3 linked regions of the Arabidopsis thaliana genome follow. The protein of the gene in region 2 binds, or shares a complex with, the protein of the main gene of each other region. Each region holds a gene or a part of one and is shown on either strand. Other genes may lie near its edges. The genes, in order: SPC98, GIP2 and AT5G17410.

Region 1 (10,592 bases), on a different chromosome or scaffold from region 2:
TAAAAGCCTTTTGGTCAAACATAGCTCAGCCTACGACTTTGGAGATGGAACCCATTAACAACGTTGAAGAACTCGATGCTGTTCTCTCTCACGCACGCCAACTCTCTCAGCCTATCATCATCGAATGGTAAACACACCAAAATCATATCTTATCCAATCTCCACAATCCAAATTAGATTTGGTTCTCTATAGGAAAGCTAGTCCAGAGCATGGTCAACACTTACGGAAAAATTAGGTTAACTAAAAAATCATACAAAAATGCGTTCAAGTTTTTTTTTTATCCCGGCTCCGATTGGTTTGTTGAACTCTCTTTTGTTATAATGATGGATATCAAAGGAGTTCAATATTTTTTGTAGTTTTCTTGCTAGGTTATATTTTTCTCGCAAGTCGCAAGATCATTTTGCCGGATTTTTACTTTATTTTTGACAACTCAACCACACACCAATCAAAGCCTTTATATATGTTTGGTTATGAAGAATTGTGAGAAATATTTGGGCAGGATGGCTTCTTGGTGTCGAAAATGTATTTACTTGAAGCCTAAGTTGGAGAAATTAGCGGCAGAATATAATAACCGGTAAGCTAACAAAAGAATCAACAATTTACATGGATGTTATTGCAAAGGTTGATTATATTGTGAACAAAAATGATTTTTCTTACAACAGAGCAAAGTTTTACTATGTGGATGTAAACAAGGTCCCTCAAACCTTGGTGAAACGTGGAAACATTTCGGTAAAATGCTTAAACATAATTTTGTCCTTCTTTTCTGATGTGGTATGTGCCAAATCTGAACCAATTACTTCCATATTCGTGTGTTATGCAGAAAATGCCTACTATTCAGGTATGCTTACTTTCATCTAATACAACATCAGTATTTTGAGTTTCTTGATACGCATTTGACAATAAAGTAATAGTGAAAAAGTAAATTAACATAATAATGAGAAAAATGAGTGGTGAATGCAGTTATGGAAGGAAGATGAGATGAAAGAGGAGGTGATTGGAGGTCACAAAGGATGGCTTGTCATCGAAGAAGTTAGAGAATTGATCAACAAATTTGTCTAGTTCTCTCTTTTTTTTCATTTCCTACCTTTTTTTTTTCTTTTAAAAAAAATTAATATGTACAGTCAGTTTTCTTATTTTCTTTCTTTATACAATTTCAAACTTAAAAACTCCTTTTTTTGATAATCAAGAAATTTCACATTTTTTTTTCTTTTCGTCGAGATTGAGCTTTGTTAATTAAGAATGGCTAAAGTCAAGGTACAATTGTTCAACCATTCAATTAGGAGGACAAGCATAATCAGAGTAGTAGTTACATTGAAGACAACCATGTTTGGCAAGTAAATGAGCTACTCTATTACAAGTTCTACGAGTGAATGAAAAGCTAATGTTTTGGAAGAAATTTCACATTTTGATTTCTATTTTATACTAATAATTTCAATTAACGATTAAATTAATCAATTCATTAATTGAGCATCATCGTCGCTTTGGCCGAGTGGTTAAGGCGTTTGCCTGCTAAGTAAATGGGGTTTCCCCGCGAGAGTTCGAATCTCTCAGGCGACGAATTTTTTCACCTTTTTTTTTTCCTTATATGTTAACCTCCAGTTTGGCCTGCACTTGCAAATTAATCGACAACCGTGAATTGTTTTTTCTTTTAAATTGGACACGATTGCTTTAGATTTTGAGACTGTAACTCTTGCCAAAAGCTACTTGTTTTTTGTTGTTCATATGCTTCATTCACACAGAGATAGATCAATGTGGATGAGAGGAAGAGTATCACAAAGGTTCTTCTTAATTGCAAGAGAAAGGCTTGCGGATTAAAATCACTGTGAGCTAATGCTTGTGCTCAATCTCAGGCCGTGGCTACAGAAGCTTCTAGATAGTGAAAAATTCAGAGTTTGGAGCCTTTTACACTATGGAGATACACATTATGAAGAAGCAACTGATTCCTTCTTATATCAACCAAGTCATAAAACAAATCATACAAATCAGTGAACCACAGAAGAAGAAAAAAAACTAAAGCTGGAGATCATCAGACTTATAGCACAAACTCAAACACAAACCTTCCCCAATTTACCAACACAAAGAATCTGTTTCCCAATCCTAAACTTTGAAACAAGCCATTGAAAAAACAATCTATGCAAAAGACAGAAAATCTATGAGGCAGTCTCTAAATAAGAAACAGATTCTCCCACGCACCTAGATTTTAAGAAAAGAACCTCTGCATCCCTGGTTCAGGAGAGCCCATGCTGCAGTCAGCGGTTAGTGAAAGACGTAGATAATGTCTTCTTCTCTTGCGATTGTGCAATATGCTTTTCAACTAAACCTGATACTCTTTCAACTTTCTTATCCTTTGGAATGCAATCGGCTGTAGAACTCAGTGAAGTCAAGCCGGAAAAAGAGAAACTTGAGATCTACAGATTGTTGCAGAGGCAAGAGAGATAGGAATCCATCAAGTGACGATGTGTATTCCTTTGCAATACTGTCCATATCTTGACTCATGCTTTGTAGAAATTCTCCAGCACGCTGTGTTAAGCCCTTCCTACCCTCACTGATCCATGAACCGGGCTCTTGCGATTTGTTTTTTTCTCGTCCTGATTCTTTAGATCTGCAGGAAATCGGTGATATTAGAGATCAAATTGTGACCCTAAAATCAGAGGAAAATGTTTGAGCAATAGTTTAAGGTCTACTTTTGTTTGAATATAAAAGACAAAACACACCTTATTTGCAACTCGTGAATTCCTTCATACAAACGATCTGCATGACTCCTGAACCGTAATATAAGCTCAAACAGGACGAAAAGTGATTCGCGGATGGTCTGTGACTGTTCACCCAGAAGAGATTTTCCAACAATGGCGTTGAGGTACTTCTCATGCGCTGCCAAGAGATCATCGAGGTCTTTAGCAGCTTCCATCTCTTTTGAGAAATTAGACCATGATACCTCCAATACCTCAAACATGATGTAATACTGAAAGTTAGTAACAAAATGGTTCATTTCATTCCAAAGGACCTGGCACCGCCTCAGGGCTGAGAGTAATTGCAACTTCACCGAACTTTGAAGCTTAACAAATGAGTTCGAAGTGATGCAATTTGGTTTCATGGTCTTCCAAATTCCGATAAGAGCATGCTCTACCCGTTTCAACTTCCAGAGAAAATTGAACACTCTCAGGTATTTAGACAAAACAGACTCAGTAAACACGGTATCTAATGGAACCCTTGCCTCGTATTCCAATGAGAATACATCCCAGCCTCTGTCTCCACTGCCATGAGGCATCATCTTCACTCTCAATCTGTCTAGCATGTCACGGTCATCATACTGTGCATTTGATGCTCGTATTGCAGCCTCAAGAAACCCAGCTAGCTCAAATGAACTAATATTATTGGCTGGCTCAGAAAGCTTGGGTCCTACAATATCCATCAAGTACTGGACAAAATCACCTTGACCAAGTAGTAAATAACGCTTAATCGCAAGACAATGCTCCTTAAATTTATATCTCTTATATAGAACATCCAACAGATGCTTGTCGATTCTCTTTGCTGCCTCGGTTACAAGATGTTCAAGTGCATCTGTTTCACCATACCCGAGACCTCCTCGCCTAGTTGTTGTCCCAGAGGCAGCTGCTGCTTCTGAAGCTGCATCAGCCCACCCGTGGTCATCACAGCAAACACGAAGAAAGTTTATAGATTTCCCAGTTCTCAGAATTCTCTGAGCTAGACTTGGTGAAATAAAAGATGGAAGCATTGCTGGGTGGAGCTTATAGCCTTCTCTCCAAAGCAAATCGACTTTAACCGGCTGACCTACGACAAAGAATTCACCAAAAGTATCTTCCAACTCCCCTTCTAGAACCCAACTTCTCACCATTTCAAATAGCGGAGAACACACACATCGAAGCAAACTCATCATAAAATCATGAACAAGCGGATCACCATGCTGTGCGTGCAAATGGATAGCCCCAGCCATCGCCCCACCTCTCAAAACCTTACACTTGTCAACCAAAACAGCCATCAGTCTCATTTTCACCATAGGCTCCGCAAACCATACCGACAACCTCCTCAAAGAAAGGTAATTGTTTGAGCTTGCTGATTCAGAAACCAAAGGAATAGGATTCATGGCCTGCGCTTCTAGCACAGCTAACAACTTATAATAATCAGAAAGCTCATCTTGCAACGCCGCACAAAACGCTTGCCCAACAGTTCCCACATCCTCAGCTGGAAACCGATCCATACTCTCAGTTATAAAAGTCTTAACCTTTCTAAACAACCAACCAAGCTCAGAGAGCATACGAACCATAATCCTCGTAGCTCGAGGCACCTTAACAGACTCCTGCACGGCATAACCGTCGATTTCACTGTTAAATTTGACATATTTCCCATCAATTCCTTGGCTAGCATACAAAACATCCCTCACTAGAACCTCCTCCGTCACTTCATTCTCTTCCTTAACCAAAATGGCATACTCTCTAAACGCAATATCCCTCAAATTCTCAGGATCTTTACTAACCAACAAAACCCCATTACTCCAATCCTTCTTCTTAGCCTCTCCACGGCTCAAAACCCCATTACCAGTATCACCAATCCCCAAATTAGGTAACAAAACCGAGGAATCAAGACCATTTATAGCCGATTTACGATCGTCAGAAACAATTTTAAGCAAATAAACAAGAGCCCATTTGTTATTGACACTGCCAGGTCCAGTTTTGGAAGCGAACTTAGTGTAGAGATCGGCAAAAGCGAGTGCGTCGGAGGACTTACCCTGAGTAGCGAGACGGCGTTTGAGAGACTCAGCGATAGCGGTGGCGTCAGGGAGGACGGAAGGAGTAAGACGACTAGAGAGGATACGAAAAGCGTAACGAAGGGTTTTGAGGAAGGCGGGAGAATTGGGATCGAGATTAGGGGTTTGAGGGTTTTGTGAGACGAGACGAAGAACAAGCTCTTGTACTAGATCTGCAGCCTTCTGCTGATCGTCGTCTTCCATAATCAATTCAAGCTTTTGCCTTTTTTTTCTTCTTCTTCGATTTCACCTTTTTTTGGATTTTTTTTGTTCTTCGAAGTTTTTTTGGTGAATTTGATTTTTGAAATCGAAAGAGGTTTTGCAGAGTTTGGGCGAGTGAAGAGAGTAGTGAGTGAACGAATAAAAAAAGATTGGGCTTCTTTTGGACTTTAGAGCTATGTAATTATTTTTCCTCGGCGGGCAATTGAATACATATGTTGAAATCCAAAAACATTGGAATAAAAAAACATTATGCAAAATATCTTCTCATTTTTTTTGTTATAAGTTTTATTTCAAATATATTATTTGAAACAACGGAGAAAAATAATGTTTGAATTAAAAAAAAGTTCACAAGTTAATTGATATGTTACGTAGAATTTTTTTGTTTAATGGAATTTTGAGAATTTTCCATTTTAAAATTAATAAAGAAATATATAAATATGAAAAAACCTCATAATATTTAATTCACAATAAAAGGTACCAATAAAAATGTATACTTTTTTAAAAAATTAACTAGCATTTAAAAAAGATTATTTGGTTTTATCTACCAAATTTATGTATTTATTGAGCAAAATAATAAAAACAGTTCATTTTAGACATTTGTTCTCTGAATAGAGGAATGATTTCTCTACTCATTTTAGGTAGTAAAATGTTTCTCTACTCATTATTTTCATCAATGAAGATGAAAATAAAGGAAGCTTATTTCCACTTTAATCAATTGTAAAAAGAAAAGTACAAGATCGGAATTAAAAAGTAAAAATATTAGACCTATTTTTACGTATGTGGAAAAATATTCCCTGTAACAATCACTTTCTACTTTTTTCACTAATTAATTTCTCTATATTCTGTTTGTTACAGATTGCACACCATTTATATATATACACTACTTTACTATCATTTCCATATCTTTATCTTTTTCACACCAATTTACTTCCTTATCTAATCATAATTGATTCAACAACAAAAGTTTAGAAGTTTATAGCTATTTATGACATAGAAAAATCCGTGAAGGCAAATACGTACAATTGTACATGTGTACGTATACGATTCTTCTCTTATCTTTATCTCTTAATGATGTTTTGGTGATTACAGTTTAAGAGAAGAACGAATAAACAATTGAAACTCGGGTATTATCACTTCAAACTTCAAAGGCAAGCGAGAGATTATTATTAAAAAGTAAACACTCTTTTACACAACAATCGCAATCATCTAACTAATTACTCTTTTAATGATGATTATGCTTTTCTCTTCTTTAAGTTCCTCTTCTTCTTCTTCTTCTACGTAATCACTCACTCTCTCTTGCATCATCATAATCCTTTGCATGCGATTCGGCTTTTAGCGGCGGTGATGCTACATTGAGTTAGTACCCACTTGCCTCTCTTCTTCTCTTTTATTGCAATTTTCGACCTAACCCAAGTGTTCGAAGCTCGTGGCATTTCCGTAATTCTCTTATTCCTCTCATTGTGATTCTCTCACTCGCTTACCGATTGAGCTTTGTAAACTCCCAATTTCATTGCTTTCCTGTCAATTTGCAAGTTGCTCTATGACAATTTGGAATCTTTAGCTCAGTTTGACAAAAAAAAAGGAATCTTTAGCTCATTACACAGTCGAGCATAATTCCGTTAGCTTGGTTTCAGTCTGTACTTGATAAAGTTTTGTACTTTCTTCATTTTTTCAGTCACTCGAAGTTTGAATTTGGTTTTGTGATGGGATCTAAACAAGTATCAAAGACTAGAAATGGTGGATTTAGCAAGTTAAAGACTGTTGAGTCCTCTGCATCTTCAACAACCTCGTCTTCAAAACTTTATCAAGAGGCGTCTGTAGATAGCCATAGCTCCCCTACTTCTTCATCGGTTCGAAGCAAGCCTCAGTTACCACCTAAGCCTTTGCAGTCCAAAGAAAATGTCACTGTCACTGTGCGTTTTCGTCCACTCAGGTGAATATGTTGATTTCTTTTGTGTAGGATTCAAACACTTTAGTTTTATATGTTTGTTCTGTGGATTGTTGACATTGGTTTATGCTTCACTTAGTCCAAGGGAAATCCGGAAAGGAGAGGAGATTGCATGGTATGCAGATGGGGAAACGATAGTGCGGAATGAGAATAATCAATCAATAGCTTATGCCTATGGTTAGTCTTAACAGTTTGACTAGTGTTCATGACTTCATGAGTTTCTGTAACCATCATAAATCTTGTTCTGTGGAATGGATTGAAGTTTCATGCATCATGAATCAAGACCTAAATTAAACTAGATATCAAGGTCCAATCTGCCATATTTTTTCTTGAAATTTCTGTTGTCCTTTCTTGCAGATCGTGTTTTCGGGCCTACTACGACTACACGCAATGTCTATGATGTTGCTGCTCAGCATGTCGTTAATGGTGCTATGGCGGGGGTCAATGGTATGGACTAAACACTTATTATTGCCCTCTCTAGTTAAGACTTTATTCTTAGAAGAGAAAAAGATATTTTTAGTATCAAGCTTACCCGAGCTACAGTACCATGAACAGTTGCATGACCATTCATTTAGAAAATGAGATCTTTGAGTTGCCAAACTCTATCTAGTGCTTGTTCTAGTCTCTAGAACAACTTTAAGTTAGATTTTCTTGCCAATTTGATTTTATTGTAGTGACTTTGAGTGTTAATTCAACCACAGGGACCATTTTCGCATATGGAGTGACAAGCAGTGGGAAAACTCATACAATGCATGTAAGATTCACTAATCATGTTATTTCTTGCTTTTCATCTTATTATAATAGAACGTATTAGGTTACTACCTTGTACAATGTACTTCAATGTGTCATCCCAGACAATGCTTATCTGTCAGAGAGTCATTTACCTCTTCCTTCTTTTCTGGCTAAATCACTGAGTAGTTCAGGAACAAAGTTTCTCTCCTTTAGTAGCCATAATGATTAGCAATAGAACTCGATGTTTGAATCCTAAGATATATCGTTTATATTAGATATTTGGCTATTCCTTCTAGTTAGGGTTTCTTTGTTGACCCTAGAAAGCCTTTTCTTTTACTAAATTTAGCATATGGCTGCACTCTTTAAGTTAGTTCTTTGCTTTACACTTTGCAACCTTCTATAATTTTTCACTTATGACAGCCATGATCAATACATGGCCCTGCCCTAATGCCGGATGATCTTACACACTTCATTGTAGAGTCCATGTTTACCTTTAAAGATGTGCATGAAATAAGAACTATTTTATCTCATGAAGAAAGTTTTGTTTGGTTCAAATGTCAGGGGAACCAAAGATCTCCTGGTATAATACCATTAGCCGTGAAAGATGCTTTCAGCATTATACAAGAGGTACTTCTTAGGATGTTGATTAGTCGAATGTCCTGGCCTAAGTGCTAGTTAAATCACACTTTTCATTTTTCTCGCAGACACCAAGGCGAGAATTTCTCCTACGTGTTTCCTACTTTGAAATTTATAACGAGGTGCTACTCACTGCCTGCTTTTCTTCCCTCCCGTCAACTTTACCAGTGGTGTTGATTGATAGTCAGATTCTGGTTTTGATTTTTCTTAATATCCCTAGGGTTCATTTTGCTTCAGGTTGTCAATGATTTGTTGAATCCAGCAGGACAAAATTTGAGGATCAGAGAAGATGAGCAGGTACTTGTTTCAGCATTTGATCCTCTTATTTACTTTCTGTTGGTAACATGCTTAGCGCGGATTTCACTGTCTCATAATATCTTTGTTGGGACTATATTCATTATAGAATCCTAAATCCTAGCACACCATTTTTGTTTAATTAGAGGATACATCTTTTCTCGGCTAGATGCATGAAAGTACTTGTTCCATTTTAATATAAATGAAATTCTCTGAGATCCTGCAAATAATGTGCAAAGTGGCATGATTATCTATCTATATTTGAATGTTCTGGATCACATTTTTTATTCAAGTATACTAGATTTGTACCTGTTGACTATTGGTTGGGCTAAGAATTTTAGAATAAACATGACTACCTCTATTGCATTAAGTGTCTTTCCCTCTTAAATTCTGCACTGATTCTCTCTTTATTGCTGATTATAGGGAACCTATATTGAAGGGATTAAAGAAGAGGTTGTTCTGTCCCCTGCTCATGTGCTTTCTCTCATAGCAGCTGGAGAAGGTAGGCATTTCCATGTAAATTTTCATAAGATTTCTTTGTCAGAAAGTGTTTCCTTTACCAGTTGGGGTATTTTATGTGATATGAGATAGCAATTCTGAAGACTAGCATCTCTTTCTTGATTCTAGTATTTTCACTTCATTCTTAATCCTTCTCTTAAATCTACTACTTTTTTTCTTCATTCTTATGTTTATCATGCAAGTCATCTTGATTAAATTTTCGTTTGATGACAGAGCACCGACATATTGGATCCACAAGTTTTAATTTGCTCAGCAGCCGAAGCCATACAATGTTTACCCTGGTATGTTTATTTTTCTCTTTCAAAGCATAGATAGATTTATTTATTTGATTTTGCTTTCCCCTGTTTAGTAATGTAAGTATACAGTTTGGCTGTCTTTTCATATCTATCAGTAAAGTTTTTGAAAGATGTTATAACTGGTTTGGTTGCAGACTATAGAGAGTAGTCCCTTGGGTGACAATAATGAAGGTGGAGCAGTACACCTCTCGCAGCTGGTATAACATCTTTGTTCTTATCCTGTAATTTTATGTTCGGTTATAGCTTACTTTTTCTTCAACTCTGGAGCATAATCAACTATATAAACTGTTTATTGTTGCACTCTTTGAACACTTAAAGGTGAACAACTGATTAACTGCTCATAATTTCACTTATATCTGCAGAACCTCATTGACCTGGCAGGTTCTGAGAGCTCAAAAGCTGAAACCAGCGGTTTAAGGCGCAAGGAAGGGTCTTATATAAATAAAAGTTTGCTAACTTTAGGGACCGTGAGTTCTTGGTTCTCACTGTTTTTCCCAAGCAACAATAGTTTTTCGAATTTAGTTGAAATTTAAGAACTTCTTTGGCTTTTTCCACCTCCTTTACAGCTGAAAAGCTTGGTTGGTTTTTTTTGCCTTCCAGTCATTATGTTAAGTAATCTCCCAAAAGCTGAAGTTGGTACGTTCTTTTGCAATTTTGTAGGTAATATCAAAGCTTACAGATAGAAGGGCTAGTCATGTACCATATAGGGACTCTAAATTAACCAGACTGCTTGAGTCCTCACTGAGTGGTCATGGACGTGTATCTGTAAGTGTTGTCAGAGATCTGTTTTAGCTTCTTGTTCCAATTAATGACACACACAACATGAACATAGGCAGCAGAAAACAATTGTTATGATCGATTTAACTGATTGATTGTTCCATCTGGAATATGATAGCTCATATGTACAGTGACACCTGCATCAAGCAACTCTGAAGAAACACACAACACATTGAAGTTTGCTCATCGTGCAAAGCATATTGAGATTCAAGCCGCACAGAACAAGGTCTTAGTTTACATCTATCCTTTTAGCTTAGTGCATGTCTGTACTGAAGATTCATTCTGGATTTCTAACCTTATAAAACTACAGATAATTGATGAGAAATCATTGATCAAGAAGTACCAATACGAGATTCGCCAACTCAAGGAGGAGCTGGAACAGCTTAAACAAGGAATTAAACCA
Region 2 (10,264 bases):
TCTACAAGAAGTAATCATGTGGCATATGGATCACGCTTTATACTAGCAGTTAGATCTAAAACCCAATCGGGTGGGAAGATCGGAACCGTCCATTTGTCAACAAAGGAAGCTTTCTAAATTGGAGTTGACGTCAAAAGTCTCCCTATTTATGACGCCATAAATAGATTATTCGCGTGGATCAGACTTCGGACTTCTTTGGATATTGCCAGGTTGTTTCCTTTGTCGTTCTTCGAACTTTCTTTATTTTTTTTTATTTTTTTTTGGTTTTTGTGAGACTAAAGACTAAAACTATATAAATATCATCGCCGTATAAGATTATGTCAAAACATTACAAAACCTAGTTTTGATCTAAGCGCTCTCTCTCTAACTCTCCCTCTCTTTCTCTCACAACTCACCAGAACAATTCCATGGCAGGGAAGAGGTTATTTCAAGATCTTGATTCTGACCAAGAAAATAAGTCCGAGAAACGGATTAAATCTGTACTACCATCCCTTGCCTCGTAATTTTTCTCAGAAACTTTTCATTCTTTTTTTCTTGTATTGTGTTTATGATGAATCATTTCTACAAATCTTAAGTTTTGTTTGGAACATGTTCAGTGTTCAATCCTCTTTTTTTCTTACACATCTTATCCTTAAAATCTAAATATAAATATATGCTTGTATTTTATGTATATGTTCTATTCACTCTCTCTCTTATCCTTAAAATAATATCTCCTTTAGATCTTACTACTCTTGGATTTTATTTTCTATTCACCTTTTTCTGATAAATTTTTGTTATATTTTTTGTTTCTTGCAGGCCAATTTCCAGTGTGTTTGGAGCATTGATCTCAGAAAACACCCTTCGTTCTGTCCTAGAGCCCGTTATTAGAAAAGTTGTAAGTATACTATAATAATTCCACTTCTATTTTGTTATTTCTAAATACTTGTTCTAACTTCTAATTAATGTAGTGGATATATATATATATATATATATACATGGATATTTCAAATGAACGAGTTGAGAATTAGAATTTCATACTTACCATGTTTAATCAACTACACATACTTAAAGTAACAAGTGTAATTTAACATACAAATATACTAGTCTAGCATTGACGATGTCTAGTGTGCGAATTGGAACTTGATAAAATAAGAAAATTTCGATCATGTTGCTAATACTATATACATTTTAGGTAACAAACATATGCATGTACATGCATAGTTGCATTCTTATATCATATATATACACATACGTTATTAAGATAGTACTAAATATTTACAAAGTTATAAATCTTTTTAGTATTATTAATAAACAAGACCTCTCTAACCTAACATTTCAATCAACTATATCTAGAAATAAAAGACAAAATAATGGTCCACACACGTACACACACACATATATGCTAGTACCTTTTAAAAGATCTATATATTGGCCTACATATTTAATTTATTAGTATGTATTGTTTAATTTGTGTAATAAGGATATCAAATTATTTGTTAATATAAAACAGATAAGAGTGTTTTATAACTCTACTCGTTTTGGTAACGTGACCAGGTAAGACAAGAAGTGGAATATGGAATTAGTAAACGATTTCGATTATCTCGGTCATCGTCTTTCCGTATCGAAGCTCCGGAGGCGACTACTCCGACACTGAAGCTAATTTTCCGTAAGAACTTAATGACACCAATATTTACAGGGAGTAAAATCAGTGACGTGGACAACAATCCACTTGAGATTATCCTTGTTGATGACTCAAACAAGCCGGTGAATCTCAACCGTCCAATCAAACTAGACATCGTTGCTCTTCACGGAGATTTTCCTTCGGGTGATAAATGGACTAGTGATGAGTTTGAGAGTAACATCATCAAAGAAAGAGATGGGAAACGGCCGTTACTTGCCGGAGAAGTAAGTGTGACGGTGAGAAACGGCGTTGCAACAATCGGAGAAATTGTGTTCACAGACAATTCGAGTTGGATTCGTAGCCGTAAGTTTAGAATCGGTGCGAAAGTTGCGAAAGGGAGTAGCGGTCAAGGCGTTGTGGTTTGTGAAGCGATGACTGAAGCGATTGTTGTTAGAGATCATCGTGGAGAATGTAAGTTTATTTTTCTTTATTACTAAATATTTTACCTAATTAGAAATTAATGAATATATAACAAATAAATCTATGCATCATATATAATGAGTTTTGTGCATATATTCATTAAGCAGTACTCCACTAGGGGATGTGATAGTAACATATCACTAGTTTCAATTATCTTTGACCTGACCACATTTGGCATCTTCTTATGGATTACCCTACTATCAATCATACATAACCTTTAAGATAATCATTTATACAACACATGTGCATCAGAAATCCATTAAAATGATGTTTTGTTTTCGTCAAAATTTATTTGCATAATTTCGTTTTCAAATTTATTAACATATCAATCTATATTGATGCTTTTGGCTTTATCTTCTTAAAAAGAATCTTAGTTTTTCTAATTAAACACTAGTATAGAAATATAAAATTTTTTGGGTATTACAAAATTGTTGTATCTTGTCATGATATGTTTTGGGCTTTTGGCTACAAATATTAACTATACTTGCTTTAATTTGTCTTAATATATATACACATTCAATTTTTAATTCTTAATTAGAAAAAAACTACTAAAAGTATTTTCGATGTGGACCGTATGCAAACGACTATCCCACTTTATACAAGAGCCTATAAGTCTTTGGTCAATCAATGCTTATATCGTATTAATTAATACTCTGTATATTTTCCGAATCTTATAACAATCAACAAACACATGCATAAAGCGAATACATATAAAGAAGATACATAGTAGAAAACTAGATATAATTCTAAATAGTTTTGTTTTGTACAACTTGGGGTTGGTGAAGTGTACAAGAAACATCACCCACCAATGTTAGAAGACGAAGTGTGGCGGCTAGAGAAGATAGGCAAAGATGGGGCCTTTCACAAGAAGCTCTCCTCTCGCCACATCAACACTGTCCAAGACTTTTTGAAACTATCCGTCGTTGACGTCGACGAACTCCGTCAGGTTTAAATTCTTAGCTTATTTGACCCCTAAATTTTTATTATTATTAGAGAACTAATAGGAATAGGGGTTTGTTGATGTACAGATTCTGGGGCCTGGAATGTCTGATAGAAAGTGGGAAGTAACATTGAAACATGCTAGAGAGTGTATTTTGGGAAATAAGTTATACATTTCTAGAGGACCGAATTTTTTCATGATTTTGAATCCGATATGCGAAGTTATGAAAGCACTTATCGATGGTCATGTTCTCTCTAGTCAAGAATCCCTCAACCAGGTATTGAATGGTCATTTTCTCTCTATTAAAGAAGTTAAGCAATTATTGATAGCTCAATGATTGTTTATTAGTTAGAAACTGTATTTATTTTTTTAATTCATCTATGGTAATGTTTTGTTGCAGCCCTACGTTAAGAACTTAGTTCGAGATGCTTACTCAAAGGGGAACTTTTTAGAAGTGGGCGAACGAACAGCGAACGAGGCTGCTCTTTTGACACAAGGTATTACTTTAAAATAGTGTCAACATAAACACCATTTCAGTTTTTCTATAATTGCGAAACATCGTTGATTATATAGTATGTTACAACAATGTAATTTTGATTATATAGGTGATGATTTGGACCAACAATATGCTGCGAGCCACTACCAAAACATCGAAATCGATAAATCATATCAACAAAACGGATATGTTCAAGAGAGATCTACAAACAATTTGGAGATAGTAAACGAAGGGTATATAACGACTCCAGCGGAATTCAATATATGTTTCACCGGATCTTCGTCTCAAAATCATATAAACCCTTTCTAAATCCTCATCTACGTTAGTATTGGAAGACACGCCATAGTGCCTTGGCCGAGATTGGACTCTTTCTAAATAAGGGTTTAAACTTTAAACTACTACTACGTACATGATGGTAAAACATGTATTCTAGATCTGCTGATCATGATTGTACATAAAAGTGTGAAGTTTAGAGTTATATTTTTAGTTGGATGGTATACCACTTGTTCACGTTTTCACAGTTGTATGAAAACGTTGTTTTTACCATTCACGTTCAACAAATTTTTACGTTTTTACGTTTTAGAAAAATTGATTCCGCTGTATATGTACGTACTTGATGAAAGTATTGACTAAAAAAAGAAATCAAGAATATGAGGGTAACTTTGTGATTTACTTAAAGAAAGCCTCTCAAAAGGATTGAGTGGGGATGACTCAAATACTTATTACCAATTTGTCTCTGAAACTCTCTATTCAATTACCTTACCAACCCTAATTTACACATCAATAGCATAATGAAATTGAAACTTAGAAAACAAGCATGAATGATACTATTTGATTAGGCATCTTCTTAATCAACCGTAGTTGTTGTTGTAGCAGAATCCCTACGAAGCTCCTTGACGAGAGTAGCGAGAGCCTCAGGGTTAAGACCAATATCGCAAAGAGCTATAAGAACAGACAAAGTATGTCGATCAAGACCTGTCTCCAAGATGTTCGACATCCGAAACACCAGCTCCAGTGACTCTCTCGCTGTTTCAGCTGCTTCCTGATTCATAATACTCTGAAACCACCAAACATCATCCAGAACAAAAAAATATCAATTTCGGAAACGATTCAATTTACATATGAATATCTACTCTATTCTTGTACGGATCTCCATGGATGTACAGAGAATGGAAACCCTTAAAGTGGAAATCGGAGACTTGCCGACGGATCAAGAGATACATTAGATCGGAAAAAGGTTAAGGAACAAAACGAACCGATTAATCGACGGAGAAAACGAACGGCGTCGAGTTTGAGAGAGAAGAAGTGAGATCTTAGAGCTTGAGATAATTGAGAGAAACGATTCTCGATCTCGTGATCGAAGAAGAAGAGGCGAAAATGGGCCAACAATTAGAATTTAGAAATCTAGGGTTGTTTTTTTTAAGAAAATAAACCTTTGGCCGGTTCAGAGTATATTTACTGGTTCATATCAAATCGGTCGGTTAAATAAAATCCGCCGGTTTTAATACAATCGAAGTCTCTGAACTAGTTTTAATCAAGGGATTCTTTTTTGTCGGAATCAAGGGATTCAAGACCTTGTTATGATTAATTCGGCCAAAATTGACAAAATTGCATCCAAATTTAGAGACTTATTTTGTAGTGATATCCTTGAAATTGGAACTTTTAACTTTTAAGTAGCTTATGTTAGTCGAATTATCCGAAATTTCTTAAAAACATATCAATGTGAATATGTGATGATCAAGATTTATTCCTTGACGACAAACACATTAATGGAAAGCCAAACTCAAAAGTAAGAAACTTGAAGTAGAAAAACCATCGATGATGAGCGAACAGAACAGAACACCTTTTTTGGTCTTGAAAGCAAGAAACAGAACATCGAAAACTAGAACGAAATACTGGGACTAGCATTTCGGATACGGACAATGACAATCAGTGGCGATTATTTTGGCGTTTGGGGAGTTAAGGAAAGATTTGAAGTTAGGGTTCTTCAAGTACTGGCAGATACAATGCTGTTGCTCCTTCACCTTGCTGCAACACAGATCCGATGGCTCAGACCCTTTCATTATGGTCTCCAAGCATGGACTCAGCTGCGCAGGATTACATGGATCTACTGCAGCGACTCTGTTTTCTTGGGCAACAATTAAAATGAGAAGGATTGTACAAGTGAAAAACACTGGTTTTGTGCAAGAACCCTTCATTGTCTCACTAAGTTATAGAAAGAAGAAGAAGATATTTGGTTTGGAGTTTAAAGTGGGTTTCTCTCGTTCTATTTATAGAAGAAAATGTCTTTGAGTGAGTCACGTTACTCAAACGAGAGTTTGTGGTTGCAGGAGATCTCGATATGTCTAAAAGAGATTAACTTTTTTCTAAAAGGCTCGGACAAAGCATAAAAACACCTAGGCACCATTTTGGAGAAGTTATGAAACCACGTGTAACCAAAATAGATGTCAGCTTTCGGCTACCCCCAGTGAAGGTATATGAATTTGTTGACACTTAAACAAAGTAATGAGAACACCTTCATAATTATATATTTTACTTCATTACTATTGTACTAAGCACAAAATATGACTTAAATTTCTAATTATATTCAAAAGGCAGAACTTACAGCCAACATGGACCAAAAACTGATCTGTTTCCATTCACTAGGCAGTTGCTTCCTTTCAAAATCTTCAATGTAGTGCATAAGTCTGTGGCCCAAAACCAAGACCAATTAGAGTTCATTGATCACAATGTTAAACATATATCAGGCCATGAAAGAATAAAAGAAGATAAGCTGCAGTATATATTAAGTTTACTCAGACACTTTTCTAGAATCCATATTCTCCATGTGGTATCAGCCACCAAGGTTTTCATACTTAGCACATAATGAATAGGATAAACAAAGCCCAAGACACATGATTAAGCAAGCAATCACACGCTTAAAGATTAAATAGTCTCTAACAAGCACAGTGTTAGAAAATCTCTAAAGTACTAAATAATTTGTATATCCATTTAATCAAGTTATACAAGTAGAAAATGCAAAATGTGACAAAAAAATAAGAGACTGTAAAATACAGAAGAAAATGTTCTCTTTGCGAGTACCGTATGGTGCGAAATCCAAAACTTACCATGTGTTAATCACTTTCAGAGTAAGAATAAGACGAGCGATTAGCTTTCAGGGCATCAGTCTTAATATTGACATCAGACAAGCCAACATCATTGAAACCATCAAACTCTACATCGGAATCAGACGAATCACCATCTCTCAAGTCATCACTCTCAATATCTGAATCAGACGAATCACCATGGCCATCACTCTCAATATCAGAGTCAATATCGTCAACCTTATGTGCATCGTTAACTGGATACTTACGCACCACATCCATCACTTCATCATCACTATCATCGTGCTTCCCTGATAACTTCCTAATCATCAATGCCTCAAATAAATCAGGTATAGCATCCTCATTTCCATCATCCAAAAAGCTTTGAATTCTTTTTTTCAGCTCTGAAATACCAATTGGATTAAGAAAGTAAGCAAAATTATAATCTTTACATGAAAAATTATGAGCTGATCAGCTAACTCTGTCATTGCAAAATTCTCTTCCTTTTCATTCAAAACTGTACATTTTCTTGAGAACCAAACAAAAGAAGTTGAGTTGAAGAAATGTCACCTTCTTTAGAAAGAACCTCTTCAGTTCTGAAACCACGCGACGAGTCGGACTCGGAAGAGAAGAAGACGAACCGGGAAATAGCTCGTTCGAAGAGAGGAACAACAACACGAGGGTTGTTGATTCTCAAATGGCGGAAATTTGCGGGTGAGTGAAGGATATTTCGAGCCAGTAAACTGGGAACTCTCTGCAGAAATCGTCTCATGGGATTCGCCTCAAGACTAGGGTTTATCAGAGGATTAGGGATTTGAATCAAGAGCCAATAGTTTTTTTTTTTAATCTGTTAACAGATTAACCGCTCTTCTTCGTTTCCGGTTTTCATAACTGATCAGACCGGATCGGCCCGAGATGACCTGTCCGTTTTCATTGTCGTTTATGGAACAGCGCACATACAGGCCCAGCCCATTCTAGCCCAAACTTCAATTTTCGCTCAAATTTGGACGACTAATCAGTTATGTGACGCACCAAATATTTTCGACGATTTATCACCTTTTATTATTCCTTTAATCTCGATCCAGCAAATCCGGACCAATATTCTTTGGATACTTGTGTGTGGCAGACTCTTTTATGTATAAAATATACAGATTTATAATTTTGTGGCGGTATAAACAAAAATATACTACTAACCTGTGACTTGTGATCCTCTAATGTTTCTTTGTTTTTTCATACCTCGAAATAAATAAAAATTGAAATACCTCTGACAAAGAAAAAAAAGTAAAAGTTGACACATGAGAGCTTTTCTATTTATACAAGCAAAAGACAATAAATATCCTCAAATCTATCTTCGTTTCTGACCAAAAAAGTGAACCCAAAGCAATTTTTTTTTTTTTTAATCAAGTCAAATCTTGATACTTTGATAGGAAGTAAGAAAAAAAAACAGAGGGGTCCAACTCTACAAAGACCGGTGAGAATCTATTATAGCTACAAATACCTATTTTACACTCACATCTCAAAATTTCAAACATAGCAACAGTGCTAAAAGCCTAAAACTCTAAAGTAAAGTATAAACCACACATTTACATGTGAGTATGTGACATGTGAAAGAAAATATCTAATTTGGTTACTTGTAGACTTCAAACACAAACTAGAGAATAAATGAAAAAGTAGAATTTGATTAGTTAACGTACTAATTACTTAAATTAGTTTCACTAATCCAACTTAAGAAAGCCCTTTCACTTACCTTCTTCCTCGCCCTGTGTCTCCATTATCCTCTATCTCTCTTTTGTTTTTTCTCTCTCTCACAGAGAAAAAGAACACAATGCCAGTTTCTGCAGAGCCTTCTTCATCTTCTTCAACAACAATCGGTCAACACATGAGACTCCAACGACCTAGGAATCATCGAAATCTCCCACCCATTTCCACCGCCGACGAACCTCTAATCCCCAAACCTAGCCGCGTCTCTAAATCCGCCATGTCTTCCTTCTTCCTCTTGCCAGAAACTACTAAGAAGAAACCCAACGGAACGGCGTCGTTTCGTGGTCTAGGCTGCACAACCTCCGCATCTCAGCAAGTTTCAGTCCCGGCAGTGATTCGCTCCTCCGCGGATTGGGATGCTAGTAATTTCAAAATTAAGAAGACGAAGAAGAAGAACAAGAACAAGGGTAGTAGTAGCTACAATGGTGGTTCGATTAAGATCTTGAGCGAAGCTAGTACTAGTAGTAGCGTCGCTTGCGCAGCGATTCCTGATGTTTGGTGTGGTCCTGGAGTTGGGTTTTCAACGGATGCTGTCGTCGGAGGCTCCATTGACACAGTTGTTTCAGATCCTCCGAGAAGGAATATTCCGGTGAGACGCAAAATCGATGGAGATAAAACCAATAGTAACAGTAATAATCATAGAGAGGTACATTTACATTTTCTGTTTTAATCCTAAAGTTTCCATTTTTATTATTCTTTGCGTGTGTATGTTGTTAATTTGATTTTGAGTATCTATTGAAATTTAGCTTAAATATTTAGGGTTTTTAATATCTTAAGTTAGTTTATAATATCTATAGAATATTTGATTTGCCTCTATCTAGTAGTTAGCACACTTAGCAAGCATTAGTTTTTTTTTTCTTTTTTCCGTTTTGATTTAGGTTTATCGTCTTTTCGTATCTATAACAAAATTAGGCTTTGTTCTTTGATATCATATCAAAAGCTTCTGTGGATTAAAAGTAAGTTTTTTTCAGTCTGTTTGTAACTGATGAAGTTTTTCTAGTAGTTTCAGTATGAGGTTTGGATTTTTGTGTTCCTAAATCTTTTAACTCAACTGTTACATTGCAGGGTTCTTCTTCTCTTCTTCCTAGACGATCTCTCAATCAAGAGTCTAATCCTTATTTTGATTCTGATTCGAGTTTTTTGACATCGCGGGCTGAGCAGACTGATAGATATCATCGTCATCTAAGACTGCCTTACCCTGATGGACTCGCTGAGGTAGAGTGTTGCTTTTGACTTAAGTTTCATATGGAGCTTGTTCCAATATGTATTTTTCTTACATATGGGTGTTTCATTGCAGATGATGATGATGCAGAATGGTTTTGTGATGGGAGGAGTATTAAGCTCATTCGATCAATTCCGTGACATGAGGCTCAATGTCGATAACATGACATACGAGGTTGGTAGTGCCTTTCTCACAAAGTACTAGTAAAGAAGCTGATGATGATTTCACTAGGTTCTTGAGTGTTGTTGTGTTTGTTTTGTTGTTAAAAAAAACAGCAACTTTTGGAGCTTGGTGAAAGAATTGGGCATGTGAACACTGGACTTACTGAAAAACAGATCAAAAGTTGTCTTCGGAAAGTCAAACCATGCCGGCAAGATACAACAGTTGCTGATAGAAAGTGCATCATCTGTCAAGTAAGTCCATTTTTGGCTTCATTGCTCAAGTAATCACTAGTAGAAAACAGATTTGTTCCTTAAGAATGTTGATGTTTTGGCTATTGACAGGACGAGTATGAGGCGAAGGACGAGGTAGGGGAATTACGATGTGGGCACAGGTTCCATATCGACTGTGTGAATCAATGGCTTGTGAGGAAGAACTCTTGTCCGGTCTGTAAAACGATGGCGTACAATAAGTCTTAGTTAGATATTATCTCTTCCTGTGATGTGATTCTTGATTTCGGGAT
Region 3 (10,592 bases), on a different chromosome or scaffold from region 2:
TCGTGCATTACATGCCAATTTGGTTCGAGAACCTGAAGAGACATCCCACATAAAGACAAGCAAAAACAACATTAGAAAAACTTAGAGAGGCAATAGTTGCTAAAATAAACACCAAATCATCTCATAAAGAATTATGTCTTTATATACTTCTGGTGTGATTTCTCTCCTCTGTTCATTGATAGTGTACTTATTTCTCCAGAATCACGTTTTCAAGAATGTATTTCTCGAAAAACACAGTTGCAAGAAGTGCCTACATTTGTAAGTATGGTTTTTACGACTACAGAGATATCTGGATTCAATATACAGAGTGTATGTCAGCAATTCTAGAAGTTAGTTTTCCAGAGACTTACACCGCAAAATCACAATGGAAAACAGGATCTATGAATAGACAATCAGAATCTTTAAAAAACAAAAAAATATTCAGATTCCATTCTATTAGCAAAAAAAAATGTTTTAAAAAACAAACAAAACAAAACAAAAAGAACATTCAGACTTGCCTCGAATGTAAGATAATGTAGAAGGCTACTGATGAATTTAAGCATGCTACGGCAGAGAAGCGATGATCTAAGAATTGCTGTACCCTTAGAGTTCATAGACCGAATCCCCTGTAGAATTTTCACAGCAGTTTGTTAGCGAAGCAAAATGATTAAAATGGTTTTAGAAGAAACCAAAACTGAAACAAATTACAAGCTACACAATATTATATCAGTCCTTACTTGATGTATCTGCCAAGCACCACAAAGCTGGCGTTCCACATGTTTGCAATGAAAAAGAAAGCGGAAAATTAACTGGTACTTTGACAATGCTTTCTTTGATATGACAATAGATAGTGGCCATTGAACCTGAAACACAAAGCCACAACCAACAATCAAACAATTGAGTAGCCAATCGAATATGCATTTGTCGATTACTTATATAAGTATGAATGATGACTCTAGAAATGCATTAGTAGTTATATATAACAACCATTAATAGCCATTAAGCTGTGTTATTACTTATATATATCTCGACGAACAAAATAGTTCGAATCCAGATACAAACAGGTAGTTGCAGACAAGGCAAGAAAGGAGCAGACCTTGTAGCTCAAGGAAAATGTCTCTAGACCAGTGATGCTCATTGGGTCCTCAATACTATTGCTATCAGTGTCCTTGTGCATTCCCAAAGTCGTAAGCAATGAAGCTCGATCCTAAGATATGAATACAAAGTGAGAACATATAATGTACAAACTCTGTAAATTCATCACATCCAGGAAAAGACAAATTAACTGCTCACCACACAACAAGTCAAGTCTTCGTGACGAGGATCTGCTGCAGCCGCTGTGGTACGTAGAGCAAGATCTAGCAAAGACTAAATAATACACATCCATTTAGATTCCAGCAAACAAGTAGAGGCCATAACGATTTAATAATGGTAAGAAGCTTTGTCTAATATTTTGAATCATGCTCTAAAGGGGAAAAAAGTACCTGCAACTTTTCAACAGATATTTCATGCACTTTTTTGTTGAGCTCCTCTCGAGCAATGTCCATAAAATGAACCAAGAAATCACCCTGTAGTTCATTACATTGTTATACCAAAATCAATGACTGAAGAAAACAACTCAACAACAGACTTTTCACATTGATAAATTTGTGCCTAGGAAATTCTGAAGAACTCTGAAGATAACTGGTTATTCATGAACAGAACCAGCATACCTGGTCGAGAAGAAGATAGTGCTTTATAGATCGAAGCCTTCCAACAAGGTCATACTGAATCATATACTGATGGTCAGAGAGGTGTATTGACGAGGAACGACATCAAAGAAGCAGTCATCATAAAACAAAATAAGTATTACCTTATCCTTGATGAGATTCACAAGCTCTATACTGGCAAATTCGTGAGCAGCCTTTATGCATTCAAGATAATGATGATTTGACCCAAATATTGTTAACTTAGATCTCTCTGATATGGGAACCTGTTAAAAAAAATCAGCCAATGTCGGGTCCAGTGTCACAAACACTGTTAATTGTATTAATAAACAGGAAATTCATTCACAATCATACCTGAACATTGTGCCCACATTCTCTCATAACGTTTAGATATTTCCCTGTGGTCAATATTGTTGCAGCAATGTTTGCTAGGAAGCCAGGAATAGTATCCTTAAGGCTGTATCTTTGGCTCCAATATTTAGCTGTAGAGTCCTGACTGAGGCTCTCCTGTACAAAAAAAAATTGACATTGTTAGATCAAGCAATTAACAATAGTGCAGACGAGCTGAGCAATCGAAGTACCTTTTTGAGAGACCTGTTCTCGGCAATGAAAAATTCCCCATACGGATCATCAATGATCCCTTCATAGACCCACCTTAATTAAACACTATTTAAAGTTAGTTGACACATCAAAGAATAATAATATAAGCGATCTAGCAAATAGGGTAACCATGTACAGATCTGCCAAACCAAAAGATAACAAACATGTTCGCTAATCACTCCATCCAAACAAAGGAAAAACATAGTCACAGGTTGGACTTAGATTTATCTGAGCATTCCAAGCAATAACAAAAGGGAAAGGGCAGAGATTGTAGCACAATGTTTTTTTTATGGGAGTCTAGTTACGAGCAAGAAAGAAAGAGGCATGGTAATCAACCTTTCCAATATGCTTAGGTATGCGTTGCTTGCACACTCCGTCATTTTCTCTAACAATGACCTCACTGAATTATCACCAGCCATCGCTTTAGCCTAGGCATGATAGTCTTCAAGATTAGGACATTTAATAAAAAAGCTAATTCTAGTACCAAAAAAATCCAAAAACTTTTAATGACCAAAGCAGGAATCTACCTGACTTTGCAAGAGATTAAGAACACCAGAACCCACAAACTGCTTCGTTGAAGCCTGCTGAATTACTGCAGCCAATGCGCGCATGGATCCCATCATGGGCTGAGAGATACGAAAAACAATCGATCAGCATAATGTTTACGTAACTTGTAGCTTGGATTATTTGAAGAAAGACAGACCTGACAGTAAAACCATAATCCTTGGATAGAAAGTCTTCCAAGTCGAAATTGATGTTCCAATTGTGCCACCATGGCTTGATAATCCTGGTAAAAGAGAGGATGGTTAATACTAGTGTAACAATAGCAAAGAATGTTGTCAAATTACCTCAAAGCTAACATAAAATGATATCCTCAGTCCAAAAAATGCATGACATGTGTTAGACACGAAACTCAAGATGTGAAATGGAAAGAAAAGAATCAGACTATCAGTTTATTCAATGCGGCAATAGTAAGAGAGGGATTAGAGAGACAGTAAGAACTTGGAACAAAGAAGACAGTAAGAGCTATATGTGTCATCTTAGATATTCATACATATGCATATACACACACTCAGAAATGTGATAAAAAAACACCAATTCAGTGGACAAGAAAGAAACCCAATAAACAAACTAAGAGCATTCTAAAATGAGCTTTCCAAGTTCATATTTTTAGTTTACTGAGTAAATCCCCAAACTTGACTATTAGTTAAAAAAATCCATATCCAGTTCGCAAAATCCCCCATCTGTAACAGAAAGGGAACGAAAAATAACTCAACAAACAATGGATCACAATTTCCACAAAGCTAGCAACCTATATCACATACAAGGAGGAGTGCCCTGAGTGCAGCCGCGAATGCATGGTTAACTAGCCCGTTCTTGAACTGCGAGCTTGACTCCACAAATTGGTCAATCAGCAGATAATATTCACATAAAGGAAATATTCTTTTCGCCAATTCCTGCAAAATTATTTGCAACGGTCAATATATATGAGAAGAGCCAATTAAATAAAGAATTACAATGTTAATCCGTTATAACATCTCTAAAAATCCTATTCAAAAGAGAGAACCATCCTAGACATAACATAGTAATGCATGTGTCCATTTTATTGGACTTCGGAGATAATTGAACTTTCAAGAAGTCAGAACACCAATGAAATGCATCAAGTTTCATAAACATAAATATACACTTTGCAAACATCACTGTAACAGTCTCAATATGTGAAAGACTTTGTACATACATGATACATATGCACTAATTCCGGTAGCTCTAAGAAAGAACAGATCAAGCATGGTTAGAAATCACAGATTTTTTGCAGTTGACTACTGTAGACCATCATGATAAAAATGTTTGGGATAGGAACCAAAAGTTATTGTGTTGAGTACTACTTACCTGTAGTGCCAAATCCATTGATGGATCAACTTGGAAAGCTATACTATCCTCCTTCCCATGGAATCTTTTAATTGAAATATATCTCCCTTCAATTCCAACCAACGCAGATAAGAGATCATCAATGACGATAAGCTCCTGCATGCCAAAAGGAATAAAAAACAGTTACTGAAATGGACATAACAAAAGAGGTGACACCAATTCTAAACCTAGGCTAGGAAGTTCCACAATTGTTTAGCTCAGGTCAATTATCCTAGTCTATGCCACGAAAACGAGAAACCAACTTCACCTACAATGATGCCAACTTGTAAAAACTACACAACTCAAACCCAAGCTTTAAGGACCCCAACACTAGTTTCAAGGTTACATAATAACAATCTCACAGAATAAGTGGAAGCCAAGAAAAAAAGGGACAGACTTGCTTTGTAAAATAACACAAACCTGAACCGGTGTGTCATAGCAGCCAATTGCCTGCTCTACTCCAGAACTGCTGAAAGCAAAATATAAAGGTCAATGACTCTTTAGAATAAGATGAAAAAGGAACAGACTTTGGGAGGTTAAAACAGAGATGTATTACTAATTTTTAGTATAAAATTTCAAAATACCTAGACGAGTCTAAAGTAAACCTCTTAGAATCAGCAAACTTGGAGCTTGCCCTCGTTTCCTGAGATAAACCCATTGTCAAAACTACTTTTTCTCAGAAGTTACCAATGTTCACAATTAAATAGAATTTGAACGAATTAGAGAACTAAAATCAAGCACATCTGAAGATCGAGCACCTGATGGAAGCGACCAGTGAGAAATGGTCTGTCTTGGTTCCAACGAGGAGTCGTAGGGCACGAGATTGGCGTCATTGATTCCATTGCTTCGCTCCCAGTCTCTGGAACTAAAAGTTTAAACCTTTATGAAAAAGAAGACACAGATCAGTCAGACAGTCACCATATACCGAACCATCTCCGGTTTTCCTTAAAATGTCCGGTTTTAATTGAACCAGAAATTTCCAGATCCTGGTTTCAAATTCGAAATTAAAAAAGGACAAAACCATTTTTTTAAGTAAAGAAAGAAAAAACCAGCCATTGCTCCTGCCCTGTCCTCCACCTCCAGCTTTGAAATTCACAGAAAATGATTATCTCTTTTCTATTTTATTGGCTTCTCAAAACGAAATAACGAAATCGCCTCCTCTTCTTCTCCTCCTCGACCTGGAAATCAATCTTTCGCCGCCGAGTTCTTCTCTCTGCGGCGGAGAATCAATTAGCAATCTCCAGGTTTTTCACTTCAAAACCTTTCCTTTTATTATCAAATTTTGTTCCTTTTTAGCTTTAGGATTTGATATTTCTAGAACCCAGAAGAAACTCTTGCCCATAACATCTCTATATTTATTGGTATAGAATTAGGTGAGGGAAAAGAGGATGGCTTTGATCGGAAAATCCGAGAGATTCTCTGCTGATTTTGTGATGGGTGGTGCTGCAGCCATTGTTGCCAAATCTGCAGCTGCTCCAATCGAAAGGGTGAAGCTTTTACTGCAGAATCAAGGGGAGATGATAAAGACTGGACATCTCATAAGACCTTACACTGGTTTGGGTAATTGCTTTACCAGAATCTATAGAGAAGAAGGTGTTTTGTCCTTTTGGAGAGGAAACCAAGCCAATGTCATACGATATTTCCCTACACAGGTACTACATTCCAAGAACCCTTACTTTAGATCAGCGTGCTGAGGTTTGTGTTAGATTCTTATTGTCACTAAATTTAATTGCTTTTAGGCTTCCAACTTTGCATTTAAAGGTTACTTCAAGAACCTTCTTGGATGTTCGAAAGAGAAAGATGGTTACTTGAAGTGGTTTGCTGGAAATGTAGCTTCGGGAAGTGCTGCTGGAGCAACAACTTCCTTGTTTCTGTACCATTTGGATTATGCGCGGACCCGTTTAGGCACTGATGCAAAGGAATGTTCTGTTAATGGCAAGAGACAGTTTAAAGGGATGATCGATGTGTATCGTAAAACTTTGTCAAGTGACGGTATTAAAGGTCTTTACCGTGGATTTGGTGTGTCAATAGTGGGAATCACTCTTTACCGAGGAATGTATTTTGGGATGTACGACACCATCAAACCCATTGTGTTAGTCGGTTCCTTAGAGGTAATGTCATCTATGTATGCCGTTATTATTTCTTAATCTATAGCAGAAAATAGCTAAAAATGGTTCTTTGATTCCGTGACAGGGAAACTTCTTGGCTAGTTTTCTATTGGGTTGGAGTATTACTACCTCTGCAGGCGTCATTGCTTACCCTTTTGACACACTTAGGAGGAGAATGATGCTTACATCAGGACAACCTGTTAAATACCGGAACACCATTCATGCCTTAAGAGAGATATTGAAGTCGGAAGGGTTCTATGCGCTATATAGAGGAGTTACTGCGAACATGCTTCTTGGAGTAGCAGGAGCAGGAGTGCTTGCGGGATATGATCAGCTTCACCAGATTGCTTATAAGCATTGGGTTCAGTAGTTTTGGACCAAACCCGAAACGATGACAATGAAAGCTGAGCTCAAAAAGAGAAGGTTAGTAAACACCAAGAAGTCTCACTTGCTTTCCAATGTATTGTGTTAATTAACAGAATCTCGGAATCATTAACCGATTGAACCAGCAGAAGATAGGGAAAATTGTTCATAGTTCTTGTGCAGTAACATTGTTATATCAATAATCCAAGAAAGGCCTATTTGATTTTTGTGTACTGGAGCAAGTTTGTTTCATGTATAAAAGATGAAATAGGTGAAAAAATTTTAAAGCCTTATGAATGATACAAACACAAAAGAGGAAAACTTGCGTTGTTGTCAAGCGAGAAGCCAGAAGTTTTTGTGGCGTTTGGTGGTGATTAAGTAACCGCCGAGCTTGCGGTTCTTGGGTTTAACCGCGATTGTCATGCAAGAGGCGTTTTCGAGGCAGTATTTGAGAACACCTTCGTGTCCACGGCGTCTCTTCCACGCCCATCTCTTCAATAGCCTCCAGACCGGAGGTTTCTTCTCTTGTCCAACCACTAAAAGGCTCACTTGTTGTTTCTTTGATTCTTCAACTATCTTCTGCCCTTTGTCTTTGTCTTTCCCCTCTAACCTCCTTATCTCCACTTCTATCTGACATTCATAAAAGAAATCCACACGTCGCCAGAATTTGATCAGAACAGTAATAGTGTAGCTTTCATTATATGTATAAACAATCGAATACCAAGTGTGACTCACCCCGGGTCGTTTCGTTTGGCACAGTTTCTTTAAAGTATGGACCAATTCATCGGTTTTCACCTCGCGTTTTCGGTTCTTCCTTTTACCTAAAACTCAATCCGAAAAACCTCATTAGCCAAACCAAACAAACCTTAAACAAGAAAATTGACAAAGAGGAGAGAAAGAGAAGAACTTTTTCTAAACGGTTTTGCAAAGTATAACAGAAAAAGAGTGTCTTGTGGTTGTAAAGTATGCGTAATAGCCCATTCTAAAGCTCCGGTAGAAGCAAGCGCTTTATCAACCACCACCATTACTCTATTCCCGCCTTCCGCCTCCTCCTCAACCGCCTCAACCGCTGCCACCGCCTCTTTTTTTCCTTCTCCGCCTCCAATGTTAAAGCTCTTGGCATCATCTTGTTCTTTTTCTTCTTCCTCCTCTACAATTACTTTGACTCTTTCTTCTTCCTTATCTTCAACCTCTTCACTTTCATTGTTTGCTTCTTTGGTGTCTTCTTCTCCGGATCCGGCATCATCACCATTTTCGCCTAGAAACTCGATTCTTTGGTCTCTCTCTATGGAACTCGAGTCCGGTTTGAACCTAATCGAAGGTGAATTGATCCGGACTCTTCTTAGACTCAACTTGGCTGATTTCTTGAGCGATCTCGCCATGTTTTTGTTTACAAAAAGAACTCAAATGGGAACCTTAGCATTGGTTCTTGAATGTTTTGAGCGTATGTATACGTGAGGAAATTTTTTGAGAGAGGACGTGCGTGCCATTAAAGATGTTTGATTGTTAATGGTTCCACACGTTGTTGTTTTTTTCTTTTTGTCAAGCTCTTCTGTTTTCTTCATTAAATTAAACGAGTCCAAGTTTATTTGATAAATTGTTAGCTCAATCGATTGTGGAATTCACTACCGTTGGAGAAAAAAAAATTTATTTTGTAGACTCGCAAAATCATGAGAAATCTTTGAGTGGTGCTCTAGTTTTGTCGTGGTCAAAATCATCCACTTTGTGTAAAAGAACAAATCCAAATTTGATTTGTTTTCTTTGCTAACTACAAAACAATTCTAGTGGCAGCCCTCAAGGGTTATACAAGGTCACTTGTTCCAAACCATGAACTCATAAATTTATCATTTTATCACATCCAAATCCAAATTATTGAGAAGATTAGGTAAGTAGGAGTCGCTAGTGACCAAAACCAAAGATATATTTTATTGAATCACTAAATCACAATACCTTTGTAAATTAAGTTATCTGTCATACTACTTTGTTATTGAATAATGTAAGTTGCCAAAAATAAAGAAATTCATGTATAGTTTGGTCGTATAATCAATTTGTTGAGAATTTTACTATTTGCTACGTAGATAACTTTTAAATTAGCAAAACACACATAATTACGTGTACAAGTTTGTAGATAAAATTTTCAGAGAACACACAAAATGCAAATAAAGAAGTCAATAATAGGCTAATAGTAGCATTAATGCAAAACACGTAATCACAGTAAGAGTAAAACACAAATACAAAAGGCTATATAAAGAAACTAAAGCAAGTAGAAGAAACTGAAACTTTGAGCAAATCCAAGAGAACATGGCGGATAAATCAGAAACCACTCCACCGTCAATTGATGGCAACGTTCTCGTGGCCAAGTCACTCTCTCATCTCGGCGTAACCCACATGTTCGGCGTCGTTGGAATCCCCGTCACGTCTCTAGCTAGCCGAGCTATGGCTTTAGGTATACGTTTCATCGCCTTCCACAACGAACAATCCGCTGGTTACGCCGCTTCAGCTTACGGTTACCTCACGGGTAAACCGGGTATCCTTTTAACGGTTTCGGGTCCGGGTTGTGTTCATGGGCTCGCGGGTCTTTCCAACGCTTGGGTTAATACATGGCCGATGGTGATGATCTCTGGTTCTTGTGATCAGAGAGATGTTGGTCGTGGAGATTTCCAGGAGCTTGATCAGATCGAAGCGGTTAAAGCTTTCTCGAAATTATCAGAGAAAGCGAAAGATGTTCGTGAAATCCCTGATTGTGTTTCTAGGGTTTTGGATCGAGCTGTTTCGGGTCGACCCGGTGGGTGTTATCTGGATATTCCGACTGATGTGTTGCGTCAGAAGATATCGGAATCGGAAGCTGATAAATTGGTGGATGAGGTTGAGAGATCACGGAAGGAAGAACCGATTCGTGGATCTCTGAGATCGGAGATTGAATCGGCGGTTTCGTTGCTGAGGAAAGCTGAGAGGCCGTTGATTGTGTTTGGTAAAGGAGCTGCGTATTCGAGAGCAGAAGATGAGCTGAAGAAGCTTGTTGAAATTACTGGAATACCCTTTTTACCAACTCCGATGGGTAAAGGTTTGTTACCGGACACACACGAGTTCTCGGCGACTGCGGCGAGGTCTCTTGCTATTGGGAAATGTGATGTCGCGTTGGTGGTTGGAGCTAGGCTTAACTGGCTTCTTCATTTCGGAGAGTCGCCTAAATGGGATAAAGATGTAAAATTTATATTGGTGGATGTCTCTGAGGAAGAGATTGAGCTAAGGAAACCTCATTTGGGGATTGTTGGAGATGCTAAAACTGTGATTGGATTGTTGAATAGAGAGATCAAAGACGATCCTTTTTGTTTAGGGAAGTCTAATTCATGGGTGGAATCGATTTCGAAGAAGGCGAAAGAGAATGGTGAGAAGATGGAGATACAGCTTGCTAAAGATGTGGTTCCTTTCAATTTCTTGACTCCTATGAGGATAATCAGAGACGCTATTTTGGCTGTGGAAGGACCGAGTCCTGTTGTGGTATCGGAAGGAGCTAATACAATGGATGTAGGAAGATCTGTTTTGGTTCAGAAAGAGCCAAGGACAAGGCTTGATGCAGGAACTTGGGGAACTATGGGTGTTGGTTTAGGTTATTGTATTGCTGCTGCTGTTGCTTCTCCTGATCGGCTTGTTGTCGCTGTTGAAGGAGACTCTGGTTTTGGCTTCAGCGCCATGGAAGTCGAGGTAGTAAAAAGATTTACATACTTATTAGCATAATGTGGAAATTGTCTTTTGTCTGAACTTTTGTCTTTAATGATGATTGCAGACATTGGTTCGATACAATCTTGCTGTGGTGATTATAGTCTTCAACAATGGTGGTGTCTACGGCGGTGATCGAAGGGGACCTGAAGAAATCTCCGGTCCTCATAAAGAAGATCCAGCACCAACATCATTTGTTCCTAATGCA

The links.
Region 1: GIP2 (region 2) and SPC98 share a complex: the UniProt entries of both Arabidopsis thaliana proteins name them as parts of the gamma-tubulin complex.
Region 3: GIP2 (region 2) and AT5G17410 share a complex: the UniProt entries of both Arabidopsis thaliana proteins name them as parts of the gamma-tubulin complex.

Annotation. Positions count from the first base shown.
Region 1 is NC_003076.8:2,051,118-2,061,709, reverse strand, and holds SPC98 (spindle pole body component 98), read right to left. Parts: upstream 5,183-10,592; 5' UTR 4,970-5,182; coding exon 2,715-4,969; intron 2,603-2,714; coding exon 2,341-2,602; 3' UTR 1,851-2,340; downstream 1-1,850. Other genes in the region: WCRKC1 (WCRKC thioredoxin 1), read left to right, coding at 1-127, 500-574, 663-858; AT5G06670 (P-loop containing nucleoside triphosphate hydrolases superfamily protein), read left to right, coding at 6,691-6,920, 7,015-7,112, 7,293-7,382, 7,610-7,689, 8,229-8,294, 8,372-8,425, 8,541-8,600, 9,021-9,099 and 6 more. UniProt on the Arabidopsis thaliana protein: Gamma-tubulin complex is necessary for microtubule nucleation at the microtubule organizing centers (MTOCs). Required for the positioning of the gamma-tubulin-containing complex on pre-existing microtubules and for the proper organization of cortical arrays.
Region 2 is NC_003070.9:27,739,322-27,749,585, reverse strand, and holds GIP2 (mitotic-spindle organizing 1B-like protein (DUF3743)), read right to left. Parts: upstream 4,938-10,264; 5' UTR 4,773-4,937; exon of another isoform or gene 4,574-4,772; 5' UTR 4,568-4,573; coding exon 4,364-4,567; 3' UTR 4,157-4,363; downstream 1-4,156. Other genes in the region: SARD1 (Calmodulin binding protein-like protein), read left to right, coding at 408-499, 796-874, 1,534-2,071, 2,866-3,026, 3,109-3,297, 3,421-3,517, 3,626-3,825; AT1G73780 (Bifunctional inhibitor/lipid-transfer protein/seed storage 2S albumin superfamily protein), read right to left, coding at 5,418-5,714; AT1G73770 (coiled-coil protein), read right to left, coding at 6,630-7,003, 7,170-7,371; AT1G73760 (RING/U-box superfamily protein), read left to right, coding at 8,425-9,006, 9,426-9,575, 9,658-9,756, 9,858-9,995, 10,086-10,220. UniProt on the Arabidopsis thaliana protein: Required for gamma-tubulin complex recruitment to the microtubule organizing centers (MTOCs). During mitosis, modulates gamma-tubulin complex localization, spindle stability and chromosomal segregation. Necessary for gametophyte development and embryogenesis.
Region 3 is NC_003076.8:5,725,094-5,735,685, reverse strand, and holds the start of AT5G17410 (Spc97 / Spc98 family of spindle pole body (SBP) component), read right to left. Parts: upstream 5,077-10,592; 5' UTR 5,036-5,076; coding exon 4,952-5,035; intron 4,837-4,951; coding exon 4,778-4,836; intron 4,663-4,777; coding exon 4,614-4,662; intron 4,311-4,613; coding exon 4,176-4,310; intron 3,743-4,175; coding exon 3,611-3,742; intron 3,073-3,610; coding exon 2,989-3,072; intron 2,912-2,988; coding exon 2,813-2,911; intron 2,714-2,812; coding exon 2,622-2,713; intron 2,340-2,621; coding exon 2,267-2,339; intron 2,193-2,266; coding exon 2,040-2,192; intron 1,952-2,039; coding exon 1,832-1,951; intron 1,746-1,831; coding exon 1,692-1,745; intron 1,548-1,691; coding exon 1,464-1,547; intron 1,348-1,463; coding exon 1,273-1,347; intron 1,187-1,272; coding exon 1,076-1,186; intron 843-1,075; coding exon 717-842; intron 606-716; coding exon 498-605; exon of another isoform or gene 87-497; intron 33-86; coding exon 1-32. Other genes in the region: ER-ANT1 (endoplasmic reticulum-adenine nucleotide transporter 1), read left to right, coding at 5,582-5,845, 5,933-6,304, 6,387-6,671; AT5G17390 (Adenine nucleotide alpha hydrolases-like superfamily protein), read right to left, coding at 6,998-7,294, 7,400-7,485, 7,572-8,046; AT5G17380 (Thiamine pyrophosphate dependent pyruvate decarboxylase family protein), read left to right, coding at 8,966-10,369, 10,452-10,592. UniProt on the Arabidopsis thaliana protein: Gamma-tubulin complex is necessary for microtubule nucleation at the microtubule organizing centers (MTOCs). Required for the positioning of the gamma-tubulin-containing complex on pre-existing microtubules and for the proper organization of cortical arrays.